4 linked regions of the Arabidopsis thaliana genome follow. The protein of the gene in region 2 interacts with the protein of the main gene of each other region in a pairwise test. Each region holds a gene or a part of one and is shown on either strand. Other genes may lie near its edges. The genes, in order: AT1G07860, AT1G05640, AT4G30500 and AT4G38690.

What was found.
Region 1: the proteins of AT1G05640 (region 2) and AT1G07860 interact in a protein complementation assay, tested with the Arabidopsis thaliana proteins (one large-scale study listed by BioGRID).
Region 3: the proteins of AT1G05640 (region 2) and AT4G30500 interact in a protein complementation assay, tested with the Arabidopsis thaliana proteins (one large-scale study listed by BioGRID).
Region 4: the proteins of AT1G05640 (region 2) and AT4G38690 interact in a protein complementation assay, tested with the Arabidopsis thaliana proteins (one large-scale study listed by BioGRID).

What each region holds. Positions count from the first base shown.
Region 1 is NC_003070.9:2,427,367-2,432,207, reverse strand, and holds AT1G07860 (Serine/Threonine-kinase RLCKVII protein), read left to right. Parts: upstream 1-2,776; coding exon 2,777-2,942; intron 2,943-2,982; exon of another isoform or gene 2,983-3,024; coding exon 3,025-3,266; 3' UTR 3,267-3,297; downstream 3,298-4,841. Other genes in the region: AT1G07870 (Protein kinase superfamily protein), read left to right, coding at 365-506, 865-1,103, 1,201-1,390, 1,496-1,887, 1,967-2,265, 2,830-2,942, 3,025-3,266; AT1G07850 (transferring glycosyl group transferase (DUF604)), read right to left, coding at 3,489-3,608, 3,770-4,315, 4,429-4,831.
Region 2 is NC_003070.9:1,686,171-1,693,037, forward strand, and holds AT1G05640 (Ankyrin repeat family protein), read right to left. Parts: upstream 3,786-6,867; 5' UTR 3,332-3,785; coding exon 2,728-3,331; intron 2,629-2,727; coding exon 2,219-2,628; intron 2,136-2,218; coding exon 1,266-2,135; downstream 1-1,265. Other genes in the region: 5PTASE13 (Endonuclease/exonuclease/phosphatase family protein), read left to right, coding at 1-80, 178-538, 621-983; AT1G05650 (Pectin lyase-like superfamily protein), read right to left, coding at 4,094-4,321, 4,432-4,660, 4,809-5,098, 5,519-5,956.
Region 3 is NC_003075.7:14,899,446-14,905,508, forward strand, and holds AT4G30500 (transmembrane protein (DUF788)), read left to right. Parts: upstream 1-3,905; 5' UTR 3,906-4,112; coding exon 4,113-4,196; intron 4,197-4,395; coding exon 4,396-4,589; intron 4,590-4,866; coding exon 4,867-4,951; intron 4,952-5,057; coding exon 5,058-5,123; intron 5,124-5,226; coding exon 5,227-5,319; 3' UTR 5,320-5,563; downstream 5,564-6,063. Other genes in the region: AT4G30490 (AFG1-like ATPase family protein), read right to left, coding at 1-121, 214-302, 383-473, 570-701, 791-847, 927-1,019, 1,102-1,167, 1,263-1,349 and 5 more; ATG18B (autophagy 18 B-like protein), read right to left, coding at 5,854-5,980.
Region 4 is NC_003075.7:18,072,386-18,078,255, reverse strand, and holds AT4G38690 (PLC-like phosphodiesterases superfamily protein), read left to right. Parts: upstream 1-2,298; 5' UTR 2,299-2,556; coding exon 2,557-3,513; 3' UTR 3,514-3,936; downstream 3,937-5,870. Other genes in the region: AT4G38710 (glycine-rich protein), read left to right, coding at 1-115; AT4G38700 (Disease resistance-responsive (dirigent-like protein) family protein), read left to right, coding at 1,101-1,673; GRP2 (glycine rich protein 2), read left to right, coding at 5,405-5,870.

The sequences.
Region 1 (4,841 bases), 740 kb from region 2:
GTTTCTGTTCTCCTCAGGAAGAAACATTTGTCTAGACGTGGCTGGTTTTAATTAGACGCGCTATATGTAATGTACCGTGAACCTTGTCGTAGACGATAACTATACGTTTCTCTCTGAAACAAAGAAAATTAAACAACTTTTTTTGATTACGCGATATAAAAAAAGGCGAAGAAATTAAGCTTTCTCTGTTTGTCACTAAGCTCTCTCTCTCTCCTTCTTCTTCGACTTTTTTTTTTCTTCCTCTCTTCTCTTTGGTTTTTTGGTGTTGGGTTTTATCTGGGTTCCTGATTTCTTCAACGAGGAAGGAAGGAAGAAGAAGAGAAAAGGGACAAGCGAGAATTACTCTTTTCTCCTTCAATTTCCGATGGGTTGTTTCGGATGCAGTAAGAAATCGAGCAAACGATCCGAGACTAACAAAGATACTGTCATAAATAGAAAAATTGTCGGTGGTACTACGAGCGTTGCTAAGAGTGATAAGCGAGACGATCAGACTCAGCCCAGTTCAGGTATCGAGTGATTTTGACTAATTTCGTTATTCTCTCTTCTCCACAAGCTCTCTTTTGGATTTGTTGATTTTTTTTTATCGGATACTTATGTTTAGGTTTTTCTGTATCTGTTACATTTGGGAGAGACATTTAATGGAGATTTTTTGTGATTTTTCCCCGGAGAATTTTGATGCATGTGTACTATTCACCATATAAACGATGTTGGGTTTTTGAAATCGAGCTAGTTTTTTTTGGTTTTGTCTCCTCCATGAGGGGACAAAGTGTCAAAATTGAGCCTTTGGTATCTTGCCGTGTCTGTTTTTGGTTAAGTCACATGATAACTGGTAATCGATTTTGTTACTCGTTCCATGTGTTGTAGATTCAACAAAAGTCAGTCCATATAGAGATGTAAACAATGAAGGAGGAGTTGGTAAGGAAGATCAGTTATCTTTGGATGTGAAGGGTTTGAATCTAAATGACCAAGTCACAGGGAAGAAAGCACAGACTTTTACTTTTCAAGAACTTGCAGAAGCTACGGGAAACTTTAGATCGGATTGTTTTCTTGGTGAAGGAGGTTTCGGAAAAGTTTTCAAGGGAACTATAGAGAAATTGGATCAGGTACTTGTGACAAAGAAAAATCCTATCTGTTTTTATCAATTGGCTGTGAGATTTGTCATAGTTTTGAACGGTTGGTGAAACTTGGTTCTGCTGCTAGGTTGTTGCAATCAAGCAACTTGATCGTAATGGGGTTCAAGGAATCAGGGAATTTGTGGTTGAGGTATTGACTCTAAGTCTTGCTGACCATCCGAATCTTGTGAAGCTTATTGGGTTTTGTGCTGAGGGTGATCAGAGACTACTGGTGTACGAGTATATGCCGCAAGGATCCCTTGAAGATCATCTACATGGTATGTTGTAAGATCAAATTCCTATCCTTTGCCTCTGTATTGTTTGTCTCGCAGCTACCCCCTTTTCTCATCTAACTTTTACATTGTTGTTTTGACTGTTTCAAGTTCTCCCTTCTGGTAAAAAGCCTCTTGACTGGAACACCCGGATGAAAATAGCAGCTGGTGCAGCAAGAGGTTTAGAGTATCTGCATGACAGAATGACGCCCCCTGTGATTTACCGAGATCTTAAATGTTCGAATATTTTGCTTGGTGAAGACTATCAACCGAAACTATCTGACTTTGGGTTGGCTAAAGTAGGACCAAGCGGGGATAAAACCCATGTCTCGACAAGGGTTATGGGAACGTACGGATACTGTGCTCCTGACTACGCTATGACGGGTCAGCTCACATTTAAATCCGATATATACAGTTTTGGAGTAGTCCTTCTCGAGCTTATCACCGGAAGGAAAGCGATTGACAATACAAAAACGCGTAAAGATCAGAATTTGGTTGGATGGGTATGTTTTGTCTCTTGGCTGTGACTCATAATAATCTTTACTGAAACAAGACTCATATTTTCACGGTGCTTTTTAACAGGCACGACCATTGTTCAAAGACAGGAGGAACTTCCCAAAAATGGTTGATCCATTGCTTCAGGGACAATACCCAGTTAGAGGACTGTACCAAGCACTAGCAATATCAGCAATGTGCGTTCAAGAGCAGCCTACCATGAGACCAGTGGTATCTGATGTAGTATTGGCTCTCAACTTCTTAGCCTCTTCTAAATATGATCCGAATAGCCCTAGCAGCAGCAGCGGGAAGAACCCTTCTTTTCACAGAGACAGAGATGATGAAGAGAAAAGACCACACCTCGTCAAGGAAACTGAATGTGAAGGGTCCTCATAGGATATCCAATAAGAGAGTGGTAAAAAATCAAATCTAATTTTGGCTTCACCAAGAAATTGGGGAAAAATATAAAACCAACTCAGGTACATTTTTAACATCTATTGTGGATGTAAATCTTGACTCGGCTTCTTTGTATGTAGAATGTTTCTGTTCTGTAGAAAAGGAAAAAAAAAAAAAACCATTTTGTTTTGGGACATATATACATATATTGAACAAAAACAAATATCGTTGGTCATATATATATTTTCCCGATCAAAAAGTCTGGTAAATTAGGATTAAGTAATGTCTAAAAATTCATAATGATGAATGGCAAAAGTCGTAAATATGTAATAGAAATAGGACTATGATCACGTGATGCAACTTATCCCGCGTGAACCCGTTAAGATTTTTGCCGTTAAATAACCAAAACCTAATCCAAGAAGGCTTCACAAATCTCTTCTCTCTTATCTCTCTCTACTGGTTTTGTGATTCTTGGAAGAGAAGCTACAAGATAAGACAACAATGGCGGAAAGATCATTCTCTCAGCTCCCGATCTCTTCTTCTCACATTGGCAGAAGGACAGGAAACACCCGGAGAGGGATATTTCCGGTATCGGAGTATTGGATCCATGCAATTCCGGTGATCGTTTTTCTCTGTTTCTTCACCCTCTGGATTTTCTCCCACTCAGGTTCCTTATTTCTCCGATTCTTTAATCTAAGAAAAGATTTTCCCGAGAAAATGAGTCTTTCTGATTTTGGTTTTGGTTACAGTGAGCGTCATGAACGATGGAGAGATAATGTCGATACATCGTCTTGAGAAATCCATGGCCGTGAGAAACGAGTCTCATGTCAGTTTAGCGATTCTTGCTTCCTCTGCTGTTTCACCAGCCTCCTCAGCTCTCGTCGCCGTCGTCTCTACCAATCAGAATCTCACAACTTTTCACAACGCAACTCAATCGCAGCAAAATGCAACCCAGTCGGTGAACAAAGCAAAACAGCCACACGCAGTCTAATCTCTGAACGGAGAAAAGTTTCTTTCAGTTTCTTACTGATTTCTTTCATGAACAGATAACTTTCAGGGATTGAATTTTTCTTTTCTTTGTATTTGCTTCAGTTGAAACAATAGTTTTTGATTTAGGATTGAGAATTGTTTGTGAACGACGATACACAGAATGTTTTCAACAAATTGCATAGTCATTTGAAGAAATCTTTAGTGAGTATATATCTGAATCTTGTTAATGCTGCTGAGGATGTTCAAGCTCACTGATCTCTCCATCTGCGCAATTTCCGACCCAAATATACATCGTTTGGTTTCTCCTACTCGGCAATACTCTGCAACAATCCCTCCTCGGTGACTGCACCAAACACACAATTTTAACATCATGTTATTTCAACACCGGTTTATTATATGATCTCAGCCGGTTATCTCTGTCAATTCACTAGCCAAAACCAAACCGGTATGACTATATTTGATGCAAGTTGTTAATAATGAAGCAAAGAGAAGATGTGGACCAACCTTGTGCCATCGGAGGGGATCAGGTCGCTTGAGAACGACGACTGAATCGATCTTTCCAGGCGAATCGAGCCTCCATCGGCACCCGGGAATCCGCCTTGTCTTGTCCAAGTTGTAGTATCCAATCACTTGGCGACGTCCTTCATCATACTTAGCCGAGTTTAAGTAAAACACAAATGGTCTTTGGCACGGATGCCTCGACACTGGTCTCGTGTTAAACGCGTAACCAATGTAGTCGGCTTTGCGGAACCAGTTGAGGAATGTTCTTGAAGGCATCTCAAGTTCGCGAGGGGATATGATGCCTCGGATTATCTGGACTACGAAACCCCATGAGACCGAGATGGACCAGAACCGGTTCTGGTCGTAGCAGATGGACTGCTGGAATATGCTGGCTGGGTCAAGAACTGCTGAAGACATCAAGTGTCGTAGTGCACGTGACCGCTTCATCTTTGGGAATATCGGCTGCACCACATCGATGTGGTGCAGCGACACCAAGGGAGCCACTGGGTGTGCACCTAATAACCCCAATAAGTCCCCATAAACATCGTACTGCATACATAGAAACATTAAAATTAGACGTATTCAATCCAGATAAACCGTTCTAATCCGAACCGAAACCAAACCGAAGTAATTAAACATCGAGGAAACGTAGAAAATGACACCTGGTGAAAGCCAGGTTCTTTGGTGAGGGGTACACCAAGTTCAGTCATACAAGCTTGGATGCGATCATCACTGCCGTAGAGACCAGGATACCGTTGGATGCAACGGTCCTGCATCCGCAAGAGCTCGAGGGCTAGAGCATAGCTGATGGCGAACCCACCGCCTCCAAATGCCATTGAATATGAGAAGAAGATGTTCTGAACGTGAGCCTCCGAGGAGCTACCAACGTAGTAGAACTGAGTGTGGTCGTACTTTGAAAGGACGTTTACCACATTGTCCACCACAAACACTGTGTCGTCGTCTCCCATCACGAACCACCGTACACCTTTTTTGCCTAGCCGAAGCGTCTCCGTCACTACTCGAGATATCCTCACCGCTGATCTGTCCCCTACTGGATGGGTGTACCTAAAACATG
Region 2 (6,867 bases):
CGAGTTATATATAGAGACACTCAATCTAGCCCATTCTCTGAGAGCAATTTGCAATGCCCTGTAGTTTCATCAGTCATAATGTATGGTTTCATGACGACCTTTCTGATGTTTCTCGCTTTTTCCGGTCTCTTCAATGTGTTTTCTCCATTCTAACTTCCCACCTGCGTGTTTCAACAGGTATGAAGCTTGCATGGATGTTACTGAGAGCGATCACAAACCCGTGCGCTGCAAATTTCATGCGACAATAGCTCATGTTGATAAATCTGTGCGGAGACAGGAACTGGGGAAAATAATAAGGTCTAATGAGAAGATTTTATCCATATTCGAAGATTTAAGATTTGTTCCAGAAACTTCTGTGAGCACCAACAACATTGTTCTTCAGAGTCAGGACACAGTCATCCTAACAATCACAAACAATTCACCCACGAGCCAAGCCATATTTAACATTCTGTGCGGTGGCCAGGCTGTAGTTAAGGATGACGGAGAAGATGCTGACTACAATCCACGAGGCTCCTTTGGTCTACCACGCTGGCTCGAGGTATTAAATTCTCTTTTGACGCCAAATGAAGATTCTTGTAGTATTCAAGATTTAGTGATATACAAGAATTTTTTTCTTTTAGGTTTCTCCCGCAGCAGGGATAATAAATCCAGAAGGATCCGTAGACGTTAAAGTTCATCACGAAGATTTTTACTCAATGGAGGAATATGTTGATGGCATCCCACAGAATTGGTGGTGCGAAGACACTCGAGATAAAGAAGCAATCCTGATGGTGAACATTCGAGGAAGCTGCTCAACAACATTGAGAAGCCACTCTGTCAAAGTCCGTCACTGCTTCTCAGCCAGAGTATGTCTCCTTGAGAACAGACCCACGAACCTAACAAAGAACTTAGGTGGTTCACGTCGTTACCCAACAGATATTACCCGTAATGGAAGCACTAGACCAAGAACTGAAGACTCGGTTAGACGAGGTAAAAGCCGGTGATGAGCTCTTGTGACTTTGACAGTTTTAACTAGATCTTAGAGCAGAAGAACAACAAAGTCATCACAAGACAAATGCATCAGGTGAAGAATCGCTTTTATTCATTCGTTGATTCTTTAGAAAATTCATTTTGTGTCAGAAATTGTAGATTTGCTTTGAGACTGTTCCTCAGGTAGCATGTATTCAACTTTTGTATCTCCTCACTTGAATCTAAACTACAGGTACGTGACCCATGTATACATTTGTTACTCTTACACTAAATTGCCTGTTCTGGAGATTTTAGTCTCAGAGTGCATACATTCTCTTGTTGAATTCGCCGTTGAGAATCTCTGACTCTGAAGGCATATGAGATAGTGAGAAAGATTTCGATTTGCTTCTCTCTTTCCTTAAGCTTTTCAGTTTAGATTCCTCGATCCTATGCATGACCACACAGTAACACATTGCACCTATCGTGGTTAGCATAATCGTCCCGCCAATAATCGTTGCACAAATCGCCAGCCAAATGTCCTCCTTACCCACAACGATAAACGAAAGAGAAACAAAGGCTACGGATATGAACAAACAAGCCAACCACATGAGCTTGTTGATCACAAACACAAGATTCTTCTTTGCCTTCTGCTCAATCACCACAACTGAAGTCTGCACCACAACAACAGCCAAAGATATGAACAGCGCCAAGCTGTCAAATATGAAGAAGACTAAAAACGGGGCTTTGCCGGCTATGCGGGCTTCTCCTAATAACAACAGTCCCTTTGTTCTGTCTTCTTCATATTGCCCAGGAATGGTGAAGATTGCTGCAAATGCAACTGTTGCAATTAGGACAGCCACAACGGTTGCAGAGTTTATAGCGTTGTTTAAACCATTGATGTGAAGCTTCTTCAGTCTCTTTGCGATTCTCCGCACCCTAACACCCGTTTGGCGAGACTGTTGGAGCTGAGACTGTACCTCGTGTTTAATGTCACTGACCGTTTGGTTAAGTTGCTTAGCCGGGTTTCGAGGCTTCCCAAGATCTTTAGCTGTTGCAGCTCCTGCTTCCTTCAGAACCGACACAAGCTCTGGATTTCCAATCTTTTCGGCTATATCAAGTGCAGTATCTCCAGCCTTATTCATAGCATTAAGGTTAATTCCATCAAATGATACCAAACATCTCACTATCTGCAAGCAAAGGCAAAATGCAGTTCATCAGAATTCTTGTAGATTGAGAAACTGAGGGGAGGGGGAATTAGCGATGATGATACCTTAATACGGCCTTTGTTTGTGGCAGTGTGCAACGGCGTATTCCCTTTACTATCCTCAACACTCAAAATCGCAGGATCAGGTTTCACCAACTCAAGAACAATCCCTTCGTTCTGACCTTTGACAGCCATGTGAAGCGCTGTTTGTCCCTTCTTATCAGTTCTAAACCCGATGCTTGCATCATTACCTATCAAAGACTTAACCACTTCTCTGTGCCCCATTCGCGCTGCAGAATGAAGTGCGGTTTTACCATTGTTCTTAGCTATCTTAGCTAAATGAGAATCCGTCTTTAAAAGAAGATTCACCACATCAGTGTGTCCTTGTGAAGCAGCCGTGTGCAATGCAGTTGTACACGATAGATCCACCGTCATAGCCAGATTCGGAAATGTCTCCAACAATTTCTTCAATGCCTCTGCAAAAGACAGCACACATTCAAAGATATATGTCAAGAAGGTGTACAACAATAACAAGGTCTTCAAGTTATTATCAGATTCTCTAAAGTTTCATTTACCAATATGGCCTTGTTTTGCAGCGACATGGAAAGGATCAAAACCGTTGCGAGCTTTAACTGATGCAGTATCAAGATCCATATGTTTCAACATCTCTTCAACAACTAATGAATGCCCATTTTCTGCTGCACTATAAAGAGGGGTCTCTCCTTCTAGATTCTGCTTTGATGACAACTCCTTCAACTCTTCAATGCCGTTACAAGCTCGAATCAATTCCATAACCTTTCCCAAATTCCCCGTTCGAGCTGCGAGATGAAGAGGAGAATCTCCTCTTTTACCAGGTGAGTCAGTCTTCTTCTTCCTCTCACCACCAACATTCATGAAACTTAACTGTCTCTCCATTACTACCCTAAAGCTTTTCTGCTTCTCAACAAACCCACGAAAGCTTCTCTGCCTCTCCATTGCCCTCTCCTGTTTCTCCATTGCTCTTCCTTTGATTCCATGTTTCTCAACAACATTCACAGCTAGGAAACTAACTTGCTTGTCCAAAGCTCTTCCCTTTCTCACCTGATTCTCTGCACCAACGCATCTGAGACTCTGCTGTTCCTCCACAGAGTTACCTCGAACGCTCTCTTGCTTCTCCATAACAGGAACCAGAGAACTCATGGTATGCTTCTCCCTTAGATTACACAAAGATCTTGAATAACAACTTTTTCTCCCAAATCTGAAAGATGCCAACTTTGTTTGAAGAATCCGTGAGCTCTTTTCCAGCAACCCGTGTTTCGTAATAACAGAACCAGCTTGAAAATGGAAAACCCTGACTTCCCTGTGATTTCCAGATTTCTTGTAAAGATTCAAACCGATGTGATGAAAGAAGAGAGAGAAAAAAAAAAAAGGTTGCAGCTGATTTCAGTAGAGTGTAGCTGAAACCCAATAGATTGATTTGTAAATCTCAATGCTTTTTGTGGGCAAATCATGTAAGATTCTCAGGATATAGAGATAGAGAGAGAGACTGTGATGAGTGACTGCATCTTCAGCTGTTTTCTTTATTAATTTCGCTAAACTTCCAAAATCTTTAGTAATATTAGTGATTACTTTTTCTTTTGAGTTTTGAAGCAACAAATTCTTAATTACTATGTCAATTATCTCCAGTTTAAAACTTTATATCCAGTTAAAGCTTCTTTTCTCTAATTTCTTTATATTTTTGTTGTCCAAATCAAAGACCAAAAAGCAAAAGCACAATGTGATGGTGACAACAAGTCAAAGTCTTCCACTTTGTTGGTTACTGAAAATAATATTTTATTAATAAAAAAAAAAAAATTGTATGTTACAGAAATTGGTGATCATATACCTTGTTACAGAAAACTATTTGAAAAATCAGTTTCCTAATAACATTTCACAGTGATATCATCTTAACCCCAAATAAATTCATCGATTTAGACAACTAGTAGGTTGAATAACACCAAGATTTTTCCCAACAGCATTGAAGCACAAGGAAGTAGCAGGAGTTCCTTTGTTGTAAGTAAGCTTTATGTCTTGTAATGTGATTCCCGTGCATGGATTGCTCTTGCTACACACCAGCTTCATTGCTTCCTGCGTCGCCGAAGTTCCTTGTATGTTCTTGTACGTCACTTGGGTTATCTTCACCCCCGAATGCTAATACATACCATAAACATAATAAATCTTTAGTTATTTGACTAAGTTGATAATTTGATATAGCATATTTGATTAGTCTGAAATTGATCAAAAATATGATATGGATATACCTCAGTAGGGCAACCTTGGTTGGACGGACAATAGTTTTGGTCGATTATGATAGGGTTTTGGACGTTCCTCATGATTAGATTTTGAAAGAAGACGTTTCTAACGAATCCGGTACTCGGCCTCGCCCATGACTTTATCCTCACGCCGTTTTGTGATCCGGTGAATACCGAACTCGATACTGTCACGTTCTCTACTCCGTCTTCGTTTAACTGCTTTGCCAAACTCCCGATGCTGCCAGTCATCACATCATCATATGAGTTGTGACCAGAGTGAGTGAAGGCAATATTGCTAGTTTTTTTTTTGTTGGAAATTCATGATTCCTAACAATTAATGATATATTTACATAATTTACTCTAAGGAATTAGACGGTGGTGTATACCTAACCCCGTGACCTGGGCCACAAGCAAGCTTGGAAATTAGGAAGTTGCGGGTCCCCTGACCGATAGCAACACAATCGTCTCCGGTCTGAACGGTGCTTCCGGTTAATGTGACTCCAGTGGAGAACTGAACGGTGAAGCCGTCAGTGTTTGGGCTGTCTCCGGGAGCCACCAGCCTAATGTTACGGACGGCCACATTGGTGCAACCGTTGAGGGTCATATGGCTAACCTGGCTGTTCATCGATTTCACTCCACTTATGATCACGTCTTTTGCGGAGTTGAACGATATTGACTACAGTAATTAATATATAAACGCCATAGATTAATAATAAGATTATAAATATTTCATTTTATTTTGACCAAAGAATCCATTTCCTTGTCCAAAAATCATTATCATAATAGTTATTATATGCTTATAAAATAAATTCCTAAAAATGGCATGGATAGATCATATTGAAAATTAAATGTGCCTGAATTAATATAGTTGAAAACTATCAACTAATTCCTTTTTTTTTTTAATCGTAAGTAAATGATTGGAATAAAGATATGTTATTTGACTATTAAAAAAAATATATTGACTTATTTAGTTATTACTAATCAATAATGATTAAAGCTATTTGTTGCTCTTTTGCATTCTGGTGGCGCTTATGTATGAATGTCAGATTGTTGTTTTTATTTACAATAACTATAGATAGAGGAGAAGCATATGTACCCTAACACCGGGAGGACAATTCTGGCCAGATTTCCGGCAAGACCAGAACCCACTACCTCGAGCGTCAAAAGTCCCACCGACCAGTGAGAATCTGTTAACCTTGTTGAAGAGAATCCAGGAACCGGAATTGCCAAAGGTCCTATAATCTTCCGGAGCAACGACGGTTCCGGTCACTTGAAATGTGATTTTGCTCTTGCATGGCCCTCCAAACGTTATTACCTTCAACAAAAATGTCCCCGTGGGGACCACCACCGTGGCTGATGCTGCCGAGCCACAAGCCCCTTGCCATGCCTTTAGGAATGCTGCTGTGGAATCGGTGACTCCGTCTGGTTTGGCCCCGAAGCTCACGACGTTGAAAACAATGGAGGCGCTGCTCGAGACATCGATGAAGGTGAGAAGTGTGAAGATAAGTGGAAATGTTATAGCTGATTTTGTCATTTTTTATATGTGAGTTTGAGTTTATGTTTGTGTTTGTGTTTGTGTTTGTGTTTGAATTGATTTGATTTGATGCATGGGTATATATAGGGAGAGAGAGCATAATTATTTTGGTTCGTTATTGGAGTCTATGGTACAATTAAGTACATGTGATATCTATATGATAAGAGGTTGTGAATATTTTATGATTGATAAAAGAGTTTACATTTCCAATCATTAGGTGCACACATGGTTGATATCGTACTTTTAGGAGCAACGGTCGTTGTATGAACGATGACATTTTTGCACATTATCAATTTCCCATATAACATGGGCCATATACGTATGTGTATATGTATTATATTCTTGGTACATGTTGTTTTTATATATTGATGAACAAAATAAATACGTGGAAACCCACTCAGCGATTGATTAGAACATAAACCGTATATAACGTTAATTCTATAGAGAACCAACAATACTAAATGAAGAAAACTATCATTTGTGCATAAATAGAAACTCAGCCATAAACTAAGAGAAAGAAACTCAACCAAAACCCCTATAGAGTGCAGAGTTGATTTTTTTTTTTTTTTTTGTTATCGACACAAAATTTACAAACTCCTGAAAGAACTACCATAAAAATAGGAATTCTTTATAAAAAAAATAGTAGTAACAAAATTAAATGAATAATATCTATCCTAATCTTTAGAGTATTCTTTTTATCAATAAAGTATTACTTTTCTCCAAGAAGGTAAAATGATCATGGAACAAAATCCTTAAAAACTTTAATTTTATCAAAATTTCAACAAAGAGAAGAACAATATAATCCATTAAAAGAACAATTTGTCATCTGCCATTTCCTTGCAGCTATATGCAAAACTTATGTTTTGGAAGTATTAGGAACACTTTCAGAACCAAGATTTTCTGATCGAAGG
Region 3 (6,063 bases), on a different chromosome or scaffold from region 2:
ATCTTGATGATGTTCTTGGACCCATCGATTTCGCCTCTGAGATTGTTATAATCTTTTCCAAAAGTTCTTGAGGATTTGCTTCAGCTGTACACAACAACCTCGCTCTGTTCTCATACATTACCTGCAATTCTTAAACCATCATTATCAGATTTTGATGAAATGGTTTGGTAGTGCCATCTTATAAGAACAAAACAAGAACCAGGAATTGCATACATCGACTAGCGTGACGAATCTATATGCAGCAGTACGGTTATGAAGCCCAAACACTGGAATTTCGTCCAAGGCAAGAGTATGAAACTTCTCTGCAACATCAAGAAGAAGAAGAAGCACTGTTTAGAGACAAGATTTGCAGATGAGAGAGAGACAAAGTAAAGTATCTTACTGAACAAACCGAAGTAATCCGCAGCTCCAAGAGGTCGGTCACATAGCTCTTCAAAAGGAAAGTATGCACATCCATTGGCACCTAATGGAATCTGTTCATGAAGCAGCATTTGGTCTGATGAAGAACTTATATACAGACAACACAAGTGTTGTTGGAGTTACACAGAGATTGGTATAATAAACTGTACCTGTAATTTTCTTCCCATCACCACTTCTACTACCTGTGGACGGGCAACAACATTGTCTCCAATCAATTGTCGGAACTTCTGTTTCAAAAGGGTCGAAAGATCTTTACCAATGAAGTAGAATCCTTGCTCAGCCTGCAAAAATGAAGAAGTGTCCCAGTTATTGAACTCAGCTCTACCTTGAAGCCAGTCTAGGGAGTTTTTAATGGGATTAAGAGCAATACCGAAGTTAGTTTCCGGTAATCAACCGCTGAACCGATCTCATGAACCACACTTCGTTCCTGCGAAAATGGAAATCTTGATGCAGTCTTTGAATTAAAAAGGTACTGAAAGTGGACTAATGATAGTAGATTAGACTACCTTCAATGAAGAAATGAAAGGTAGGAACAGATCTCTTTGGAGTCCTCCTTCATAGAGTTTATCAGGATTCCGATTCGATGTAGCAACAAGAATCTATATTTTATATAGCAAGCATGGACAAAAGTCAGTTTTAAGATGATTGTAGCAGCATAATGTAAGTAAAGATGACACTTACAACACCATTGCTAAACAGATGTCCAAAGAGTCGGTTTAGTATTAGAGCATCTGCAACATCAGTTACCTATAATAACAGAAACAGTAGCCGAAAAAATCAAGATGTGTTGATCCAAAGATGATCACTTTCAAGAAAATAAATATATGAAATAGTGTACATACCATGAACTCATCTAGACATAGTAAGATTGCATCATGAGCTATCTCTTGGGCAACAACTTCAAGTGGATCTGATAAACCCTTGTGCTTCTGCAAACATTATGAACCGAAATCAAACAACGTATCTCAAAAGGCTAAAGCTTTTCCTACTAAAATCAATAGAGAAACAATGGAAACTCAATTATCCATACTTGCAAGCGGCTATGAACACTCAACATGAAATCATGGAAATGTATCCTCTGCTTCTTCCAAGTACAAGGCCTAATGAAACAAGAGAATTGTCATGAAACCGCAATGCTCGAAAAAAAAGGATAAGAATTTGATCATACAAACTTACAGTTGATCAAAGAATAAGTCCATCAACATGGTTTTTCCTGTACCTACACCTCCATAAAGGTATAATCCTTTGACGGGTGAGTAAGAAGTCTGTGGCATGAGCCGAGACCAAAACCAACGACTTCTGTATTACACAAAAACACAGTTGTGTGAGACTCAAGTTCTCAATCCTAAACAGAGAAGGAAAGGTGTCAAGGCTAAGAGAACAGAACAATCACCTTGAGGATTTATCAGAAGTATTATACCGATCTAAACGACATGTATCTACTGAATCCACAAGCTCATCATATAGTCTCTGAAGCTCTCTCAATGCACTAATCTACAACATTTCAAACACAACCTTAAGCCGCAAGTAACACGAATCACATTTAATCTTATAGCTCAAAAGCTTCAATGAAGTAAAAAAGAGTGGCTATTATTTTTATCATACTTGGCAGATATCACCAGTCATGAGTTCACCATTACTGATTCTTCTCTCATACTCAACAAGAGGACCTGTTCTATTCACATCTGTCATCATTCAACAAATATCAGCAAACCAATAAACACGAACTCTGAGATTGATAGAATTTCTTTGCAAAGAGAAACAAAACCTGAGACGGTGACCCTAGTAGTAGCAGGATCAGCTGCTTCTACTGCTTCTGCTGATAAGCCTCTAAAGATACTTGACCTTGAATACAAACTTGAATTATCAGTGTTTGTATTCAGCAGAGCTTGATTTTGATTGACACCGATCAAAAGTTTGCGGCTTTTGGAGTAGAAAGTTGAAGAATAACGTTCTTGATTGTTCCTTAGAGCCCATCTAATTCTACTGAGAGATGATAACCTAATGATTGGTCTCATCTACGATCAATGCAAATTCAATTCAGCAGCTGAAACTTTGAGATACGGAAACAGAGCAAGAACAATAACCCAAGAAGAAAAACAGAATCTTTGTATGAGAGAAATCGGATCCGGATAAGAATTAGAGCACAAGAGGAAAAAGTGAATGAGAATATTGAAAAGTTAAGTTTGATGTTTATATGTAATGACGATGATAAATCTGGATAAGAGAGATAGAGAGAGACCCAAGAATAAACGGAGATGTAGTCAAATAAGGAAGATAGAGAAGAAGATCTTTAACTGTTAAACTCTTAAAACAGAGAGATAGAGGCGTGATTAATGAGTTATTTATCAACTAAGACACGTTTTTTATTTTTTTATTTTTATATACTTTCAATTTTTTAACCAAAATTGATTGTGTTGTACTTCTAATTACATTTGTTAATGTTGATTGCATAGTTGTTTTCCAGGTCATTAGAGGATTGTATTTGTCCCTTATTTAAGAGAGTTGACTATTTTTATTCCTATGAAAAAAGTAATTTCTTGATATATCTTTACCCTAATGATGTCTACAAGTCAAATTACAAATTTTATAAACAATTTTTAACATTTGTAATTATAGTATAGAATATTGGAAACGGAAGCTTCTCGATGTTGCGTTTGCGTACAGGATACTGGTGGACCTAGCGAATGTGTCCCATACATAGGCTAAGCATATTCCAAGTGGGAGAGAGATACGTGAATCAGACATGGTCCTTAAAGATGATCCAACGGTCTATAATTTTTCTAGTTTTGTTCTCAATGGGTAAGTTGAACAATGGACCTTAATGATGACATGTTGCATTGCGTATGATTCCACGTGTCCACGTCATTTCTTACACTGCAAACATGTCTTTTTCTGACCAACCCCTAACGCTACTTTTCTTTGATACATCTTTGTTTTTGCTATAATGGTGCTTGTTGACAAAATAATACTATGTTGAATTGACCTAAAACCATACTCAGATTGGGATATCCGAGAACCATTGTGTAAGACGTGATGTTTGATCCAAATATGGGCTACACTCAAATATTGGATATAGGCCCACAAGATATGATATCTTCATTTTTTTTTGTCTATAGAACAACATAAAACAGGGAAAAAAATTTACACTACTTTTGTTCTTGTTCCGTTATAAATATCGTTTTACCGATTGATCATAGAAATGGTATACTTTTTAGTTTTTGGAACAGCGGTAAAAGGTTTTATGTTGATGTCTTCTCCGAGCGCCGGTGATTTTCACACAGACCTTGTTATTGGAAAACTGAAATAATGCAGTTTTCTGTTGATAGGCCTTAAGATGTCAGATTTTATGGGCCTTTTAGGTTGTTCTGGCCCATTTAGATAGAACTGTTTCAGTTTTCCAACAACAACTGATAAGGATAGACGAAAGCCCAAATTAAGAATCTTTGTCCTAAACCCAAGGAAAAGCGTAATTACGACACGCAGCCAAACAAAACATTTCCTGCGTGAAAAAAGTATTTGAGAAAAGAGGACGACAAAAAGGTACAGGTGTCAATATATAATTGGATTAAACAAGCTTAGACACCTAAAAGTTTTCTCTCACACCATTTGTGAAGATCCAAAGCAAAAGAAGAATTACAGAAACTGAAAAAACTATCTTCCTCGTCTCTTTGATCATTCTCTTTTAACTCATGGCGAATCAAGGAGCAAAGAAGAGGAAAGATGAGAACGCTCGACACATGGCTAAGCTCCGTCTCATTATGATCCTTTGCAACGTAACTTCCTCGTTCCTCATTTCTTAAATTCTCAATACATTAATCCGTTGAGCTTAGATTTGTTTAGATACGTTACTTGTATCAATATGGAACTAAAAATCCGTTGAATTTGATCTTTAGGTCTCGAAAGTTTCAATGTTTAGCTGATTTTGTTTCGATGAATTCGAGGATTGATGTTTTTGGCAATATGTGTTTGCAGATTTTGTATGTCCTAGTGAGGGTTATAATTTCGCATTCAAGTCATACCTGGAAAAATTGGATTGGTCTTGTGTTAACATCGTTAGGTTACGGGATTCCATATAAGCTTCTTCATCAAATGGCAAAGCCTAGTGTTAGTGATGCTGGTGAACTTCTTGATGGTGGATTTGACATGAGCACTCCTGGAATGTGTGGGTACGTTCGGAAAGATTTGTCTTTTAAATTGATCAACTAGAAAGTGCCTGCTTTTGTCTCAAGTGTTTCTGTATAGTTGGATTCTGTTTCCATAACCAAAAGCAATAGTAGGAGGACTGTTTCATTATCAGTTGTTTGAAATGAGTGATGTTTTACTAGTTGTGGCTTTCTCCGAGTTTTATCGTTTATCAGTTGCTACATAATCGTCATCTTTATGGTGGATTGGATTTATGGTAGATTCTATAGTATAAGCCTGATGCTCTATTCTTCCTTGCAGATATTTGCATGATGTACTCTACATCACCTGCTTTGTGCAGGTCGGATCTATCATCTCTGGAAAGTTTTGGTACGCGTATTTAGTGGTATGATACCCATCTCAATTTTCTTTATTGCCATATTTTAAGGCAAACAACAGATTTGCTCTGTAGGAATGATGCAACCATTTACTTTTGCTTGTTTTTATTTTAGATCCCTGCATTTGGAGCATACAAAGCTTCTGGTCTTATTAAGGGACTATTGTCACATGGTTCAGAGGTAATCACTTTGTCTTGAATACTCTCAAAGTGCTTTGAACAAGGGGGAAATAAAACATGATCATTTAAAATGGACTGTGTTTTGTCTATATGACTGAACTTAGGGAGGTGTTGAGGATGAGAAGACTCGCAAAAAGAGGGAGAAGATGGAGAGAAAAGCTTCTAGAGGACAAGTCGTTAAGACAAGATCTCGATGAATGTCTTAAACATTCATCTTTAGCAAACACAATTAGCAAATCTTTCTTCAAACATACAAAATGCAAATCAATGGGTAAATACTCTTGACTTTGTAATGTACCTGTCTTTACACTATTTTGACTTAATGGATGTGTTAAGATGAAGTAGACTAATAGTCTTGAGTAGGATACAGTGAATTCTCATAAGATAAAAGACTTTTGCTCTTTGGATTATGATGATGTTATGACTTGTGAGCCATTAGACCGACAAATGATCCTGACTTGAAAATTCTGATTCATAGCTAAAGAGCCTTGACTGTAACTATGGAGTAAGTGGGATATGATGGAAAGAGTTGGGAAACCATTTTGTATTTCATTTCTTCAACACAAATCAAGATTAAGATACAGTAATAGCACGGAAGAGCTAATTATATTTGCGAATAACCAAAGAACATGAGACTATAAACATATTCTTAATGAACCCAAGGTACAAAAATTGTTACATACAAAAAAGTTGCCCAGTACTTTCATATATTTGATATTTGGTTGTATACATCACCCGGTGGTTATGGAGAAGAGATTGAATTCACGTTCCAGTGTCCATAGAGACTCATTCTTGTTATTGATACTTAGCGTATACTCCTGGAAATATCCGTTATAAGTGATCACCGATACCGTTGCTCTGAAAAGAACGTGAAAGGTAAAAGATTATCAAAACTTGTCATGTAACCATGGTTTCAAAATGAAGATATCCTAAAATCTTAC
Region 4 (5,870 bases), on a different chromosome or scaffold from region 2:
TAAGAAGGAAGAAACTGAGGGTGAACAGGCTGTAGAAGAGGCTAAGAAGGAAGAGACTGGTGGCGAACCGGCTGTAGAAGAGGCAAAGAAGGAAGAGACGGAGGACAAAATCTAAAGAGTCAAAAGGCATTTTTGTGGATTGTGATAGTTTGGGTTCTTGAAGTTTAGCTTCTGAGAATTTGTGTTGTTTAATTTGGATAAGTTAAGTTGTGTGGGGGAACTCTAGAGAAAATTTTGGTAGGGTCTTTTTTTTTATAATATCTCTCTGTCTCTTTTTTTTACCACATACTCTGTTGCAATTTTTAGGGTTTTGGGGTGTCTTTTATTTTTTACGAGTTGTACAATTTCATTATTGGTTTAAATCTGTCTTTGAATTTGGGAGCGTTTAGTTGATCAGTGATCAATGGTGCGTAGAGAGAGTGATGTTTGTTATTAAGAGCCCAATTGGCCCAACTTAACCCGACCCAGTATCAGATCTGGCCCGTATTCTATAATCTTCTTGATCGGTGCAGTCCACTTAAGATATATGTGGTGAGGAATAAATCCAACCTGTACAAACACACAGAATGTAGTGGGACGGGGAATATGATAATACCACGCGCTTTAGAGCTGGGAATATATTAAAATTGATCAAAAATAGGCATTTTGGCTGGACTATATAGCTTACCCATTTTGATAACACGCGCTCAACGCTCCTAAGGTGCGCGTGGTACATATCCTTACCTCGAATAAAGTTTATGCTAGTTATTTGGCAGAATCTCAAAGCTTTTTAGAATCATAATTTTCTAAAATAATTAAATCTCTTTACATGTTTTCAAAGTTGTCAAACACTATTACAATTTTGAACATATCATCAATATCAGACAGAAAATTTTCAAAGTTAATACCTGGATCATATGCATTTACTATTTTCTTTTTGTTATATAGAAAAATATCAAATAGATTTTCTAAATAATGACATATACCCTCTTTTTATAGGAGAAAATCTTTTTCCTGTAAACATTCCTAAAATTACAAGTGATCAAACTATATATATATATATATGTTCTAGATTCATTTGGATAGTAAACTTTCATATCAATTCCTTAAGTTTATAAATTATGAAGAGCACATTAATAATATTTTTCACACTCTGTTTGAGCATGGCCGTTATGGCGCGTCACGAATCCTACTATGGCAACACCAAACCGGCTAAACTGAATGAGGAGAAAGTGACACGTGTCAGATTTTATCTCCATGATACTCTCAGTGGCCAAAATCCTACCGCCGTTAGAATCGCACATGCAAATCTAACCGGTGGCTCAGCTTCGCCGGTAGGTTTTGGAAGCCTGTTTGTGATAGACGATCCGCTCACCGTCGGGCCGGAGAAACACTCGAAAGAGATCGGGAATGGTCAAGGGATGTATGTCTCCGGGTGCAAAGACTTGAGCAAATTCACGATCGTCATGTACGCTGATTTGGCTTTCACGGCAGGGAAGTTTAATGGAAGCTCGATCAGTATCTTCTCGAGGAATCCGGTGGCGGAAGAGGTCGGAGAGCGAGAAATCGCGATTGTTGGTGGCCGTGGGAAATTCAGAATGGCGAGAGGTTTTGTCAAAGTAAAAACAAATAAGATTGACATGAAGACTGGTGATGCTGTTCTCCGATATGATGCTACTGTTTATCATTATTAACCGATTCATATGTTCCGATTAAAACAATAAAAAGGCCAACTAAATCAATTATTCAGATCAAAACTGAATTTTGCATGATCAAGAGATCAAAATTGATTAATTATGTTGCAATCTTTCTTCTCAATTCCCAAAATCTATACTAGTAATCTCTTTTACATATCTTAGTTGTGTGGATCGTGATATTTGAGATAGTCTTACAAAAGACATGATAGGGCCTGTGAGTGTATATGATTGGTTTTCCATCGGATCCTATCCGAATTTTATCCAAAATATTAATTATCGATGCCTTGTTTAAATTTTAGGAACGACTTTTATTTCATAGAAAATTTGAATATGTGTCTTCCAAGAAATAAAAATCACGTTGTATTGATATCTTTCACGTCGGAAAATAGCCAGGCATTAGAAATTGACAAATAACAAACAGTGAAGACAGCTATACAACAAAAATGGACCTACCATACATTGTAAACCCACTCTCCCATCAATTACAACTCAACCACTCTTTCAATATATCTCAACTAATCAATCAGTTCACATTTATAACACTAAAATGTTCCCACAATAAAAATTGTAACAGTTAATCTTACATATTAAACGCTACTACTTTTTTTCTATGGTTTTTGTTAAGTTAAAAGTTGAAAGTTACTTCTAATTTGCGAATATGTCAACGGTGTTTTGAGAAAGTAGCGTAATTATTAAAAGATTAACGTATAATTCGTAACTTCTTCAAACCAATAATAAGTAAATAAAAAACAATCATAACGACTTATGAGTAAAGGTTTATTGATAAAGAAGGCATGGAACATTTTATAAACAAGAGAGAACAGAATTCAATATAGTGATCAGAGAAGAGAGAGCAAAGGGAAAGGGTTAATCCTCAGCAATGGGCTCTCACCTTTCCAAACAACTCGAGCGGCGAAAAGCCATCTCCACGGAGAAGAAAGCCCTCACCGATCTCGAGAAATCGTGCGGCTGCGAGTTTCCGGGGTGTGATTACATGCCTTCCGATCGTAAAAACTGGATGGCCGGCGTTGGACCTGAAAAGCTTCACATCAACAAGATCGTCTGGCCTGGGACGCACGACTCTGCCACCAACAAAATCGGTATCCGATTCGTGTCTCGTCCCTTTGCTAAGTGCCAATCTCTCTCCATCTATAACCAGCTCGTGGCGGGTACTCGAGTCCTTGACATTCGTGTCCAAGAAGATCGCCGTGTATGCCACGGTATCCTCAAGACTTATAGTGTCGACGTTGTCTTGGCCGATCTCAAACGGTTTCTATCCGAAACAGAGTCGGAGATTGTCATTCTTGAGATCAGAACAGAGTTTGGACACGAAGACCCACCGGAGTTTGATAAGTATCTTGTGGAACAGCTTGGAGAGCATCTGATTCACCAGGACGATCACGTGTTCTCCAAGACAGTCGCTGAGCTGCTTCCCAAGAGAGTGATCTGCGTTTGGAAACCGAGGAAATCGCCTCAGCCTAAGCATGGTGATCCTCTTTGGAGCGCTGGTTACCTTAAAGACAATTGGATCGATACAGATCTTCCATCGACCAAATTCGAGAGCAACATCAAGCATTTGAGCCAGCAGCAACCAGCTACTTCAAGGAAATTCTTTTACCGGGTGGAGAACACAGTGACGCCGCAGCCCGATAACCCAATAATGTGTGTAAAACCGGTGACTAAGAGGATACATTGCTACGCCAAGGTATTCATCATAGAGTGTGTAAAAAGAGGATGTGCTGATAAACTGCAGATATTCTCAACTGATTTCATAGATAATGAATTTGTTGATGCTTGCGTTGGGCTCACCTTTGCGAGAGCTGAAGGTAAGGCCTGAGGAATGAGCGTGTGGAGACAGACTTTGTGTATCTATTTTGAAGGAAAAGAATCAGAACATGGTTGATGTGTTTTAGGGTTGCTTGTGTATAAGAGAACATGTGAGTGTGTATTTGTATGTGTGTGTGATTTACGAGTGTATATTCCAATTCATTACAACTTATTTGAATCCTGATACAATTGCGAGATATCCAAACTCTTCATTACTATTAATTTCTGATACTTTTGCAGATGTTGTAGTTGATAGACAGGCAAAACAGAAGGAAGAAGTATACAGTTGATGGTAAAATCTAGTTTTAACAAGTGAAAGAGAGCTGCTAACCTGAGAGATGACTATATTTCTGCAGCAATGCCCCTTTTTATTACACACTACTGTGATCTTCAAGAACAAAAAGATAATAGAATCAGTTATGCTAGAATTCATATCAGTAGCTAATGACACAATGCATCTCTATAATTTCATTATTTGATTATATCTATAAACTGAGATGATGGAAACATGGTGCAAAATCCTAATAATTTGAGATTAGATTTCTTCTCAAGACTTGAAACACAAAAGAAGAAGAAGAAGAGCATTTGATCCACAAGAGTGATTGAGCCGAGCCAAATTATTCTCCCTGCTGAGATCGGCAGCGAGACCACTCTTCTAGACTCTAGACATGGGATGCAGAGAAACCAACTTTTTTTATTTAAACGGCTGCGTTTTAAGTCATGTTCTCAAATGATACCAGTTTTTTTTTTTTTTTTTTTTTTGCTAAGCACAAGTTTGATTTGTTGTTTGGCACTTTACGATAACATCATTTTACTCCTATACTTTCTCACGGTAAGTGATTAAGATAAAAACATGCACATTTTTCGAATTATAAGCTAAATTTAAAGGGATCTATTTTCTATCTCTCAATAATTTTTAAATTTTACTCATTTTCTATTTCTCTTATAAATTAATTACTTGGTAATTTAGTTTTGTAATCGATACTCAAAAATCGATATCCAACAAAGGACAATCTCTTTGCGGTCAATAGTCTTCTCAAATTACTTCATACAATTATCATACTGTTTGGTAAAATTTGTGAATCTGCCTCATAAAATGTACGTGGAAAGTGGAACAACAGTTAATGCTTATTTTGACCACAAGATTGAGAAAATTTTGAAAAGAGTATATTGACCAGTTGCTGACGTTGCATGTCATTCTTTAATGTTGTTGTTGACTGCAACAAAAAATAAAATACAACATACAAAGTAAAAAAATAAAAATAAATTAATTGATCTTTGTTTCTCTATTCCCCAGAGAGCTAGCTTTTCAGATCTAAAATCAGAATCTGACGGCTGATATCCCTCGTGAAAAACACCCCAACCGTCCAGATGCAACTGCTTGCTGGGCCAATGATCCATTCTCTTTCCCGAAATGGATTAATCAATTTAAGCCTTATCACATGCTGGCCCATTTTCTAACTCCTCTTTTCTTTTTTAACTTACTTTTCTTTCTTTTAATATTTTAGTTGCAGATTCATTTTCGAAATCAACGAAATTTATGTTTTTTTAATTTTCTGGGTATCTTAATCGCGAGATTTTTTATTTTAATATCACGCTCGAATATACAATTCGGAATGTGCAGATGTTTTTTTTGAAGGCAATTTAGAAAAATAGACAAAAATCGAACAAACATATATAGAAATAGAGATCTAAATAAAAACATTTATTTTATTTCCTCTTGGAAACAAGGAAAAAATGAATTGGGGTGGGTGACGTGGCAGTCATACCCTTGCCACACCCTTCCTATACGCATATAAACAGCAGCTGCGAGGAGAGAGAGATTTCAGAGTATTTTCTAGGGTTTCGTTTTTTTTAAAGATTTAGAGAAAAAAGTGAGTTATTAAGAGATTCCAATCAAAATGAGCGGAGACAACGGCGGTGGTGAGAGGCGCAAAGGCTCCGTCAAGTGGTTTGATACCCAGAAGGGTTTCGGCTTCATCACTCCTGACGACGGTGGCGACGATCTCTTCGTTCACCAGTCCTCCATCAGATCTGAGGGTTTCCGTAGCCTCGCTGCCGAAGAAGCCGTAGAGTTCGAGGTTGAGATCGACAACAACAACCGTCCCAAGGCCATCGATGTTTCTGGACCCGACGGCGCTCCCGTCCAAGGAAACAGCGGTGGTGGTTCATCTGGCGGACGCGGCGGTTTCGGTGGAGGAAGAGGAGGTGGACGCGGATCTGGAGGTGGATACGGCGGTGGCGGTGGTGGATACGGAGGAAGAGGAGGTGGTGGTCGAGGAGGCAGCGACTGCTACAAGTGTGGTGAGCCCGGTCACATGGCGAGAGACTGTTCTGAAGGCGGTGGAGGTTACGGAGGAGGCGGCG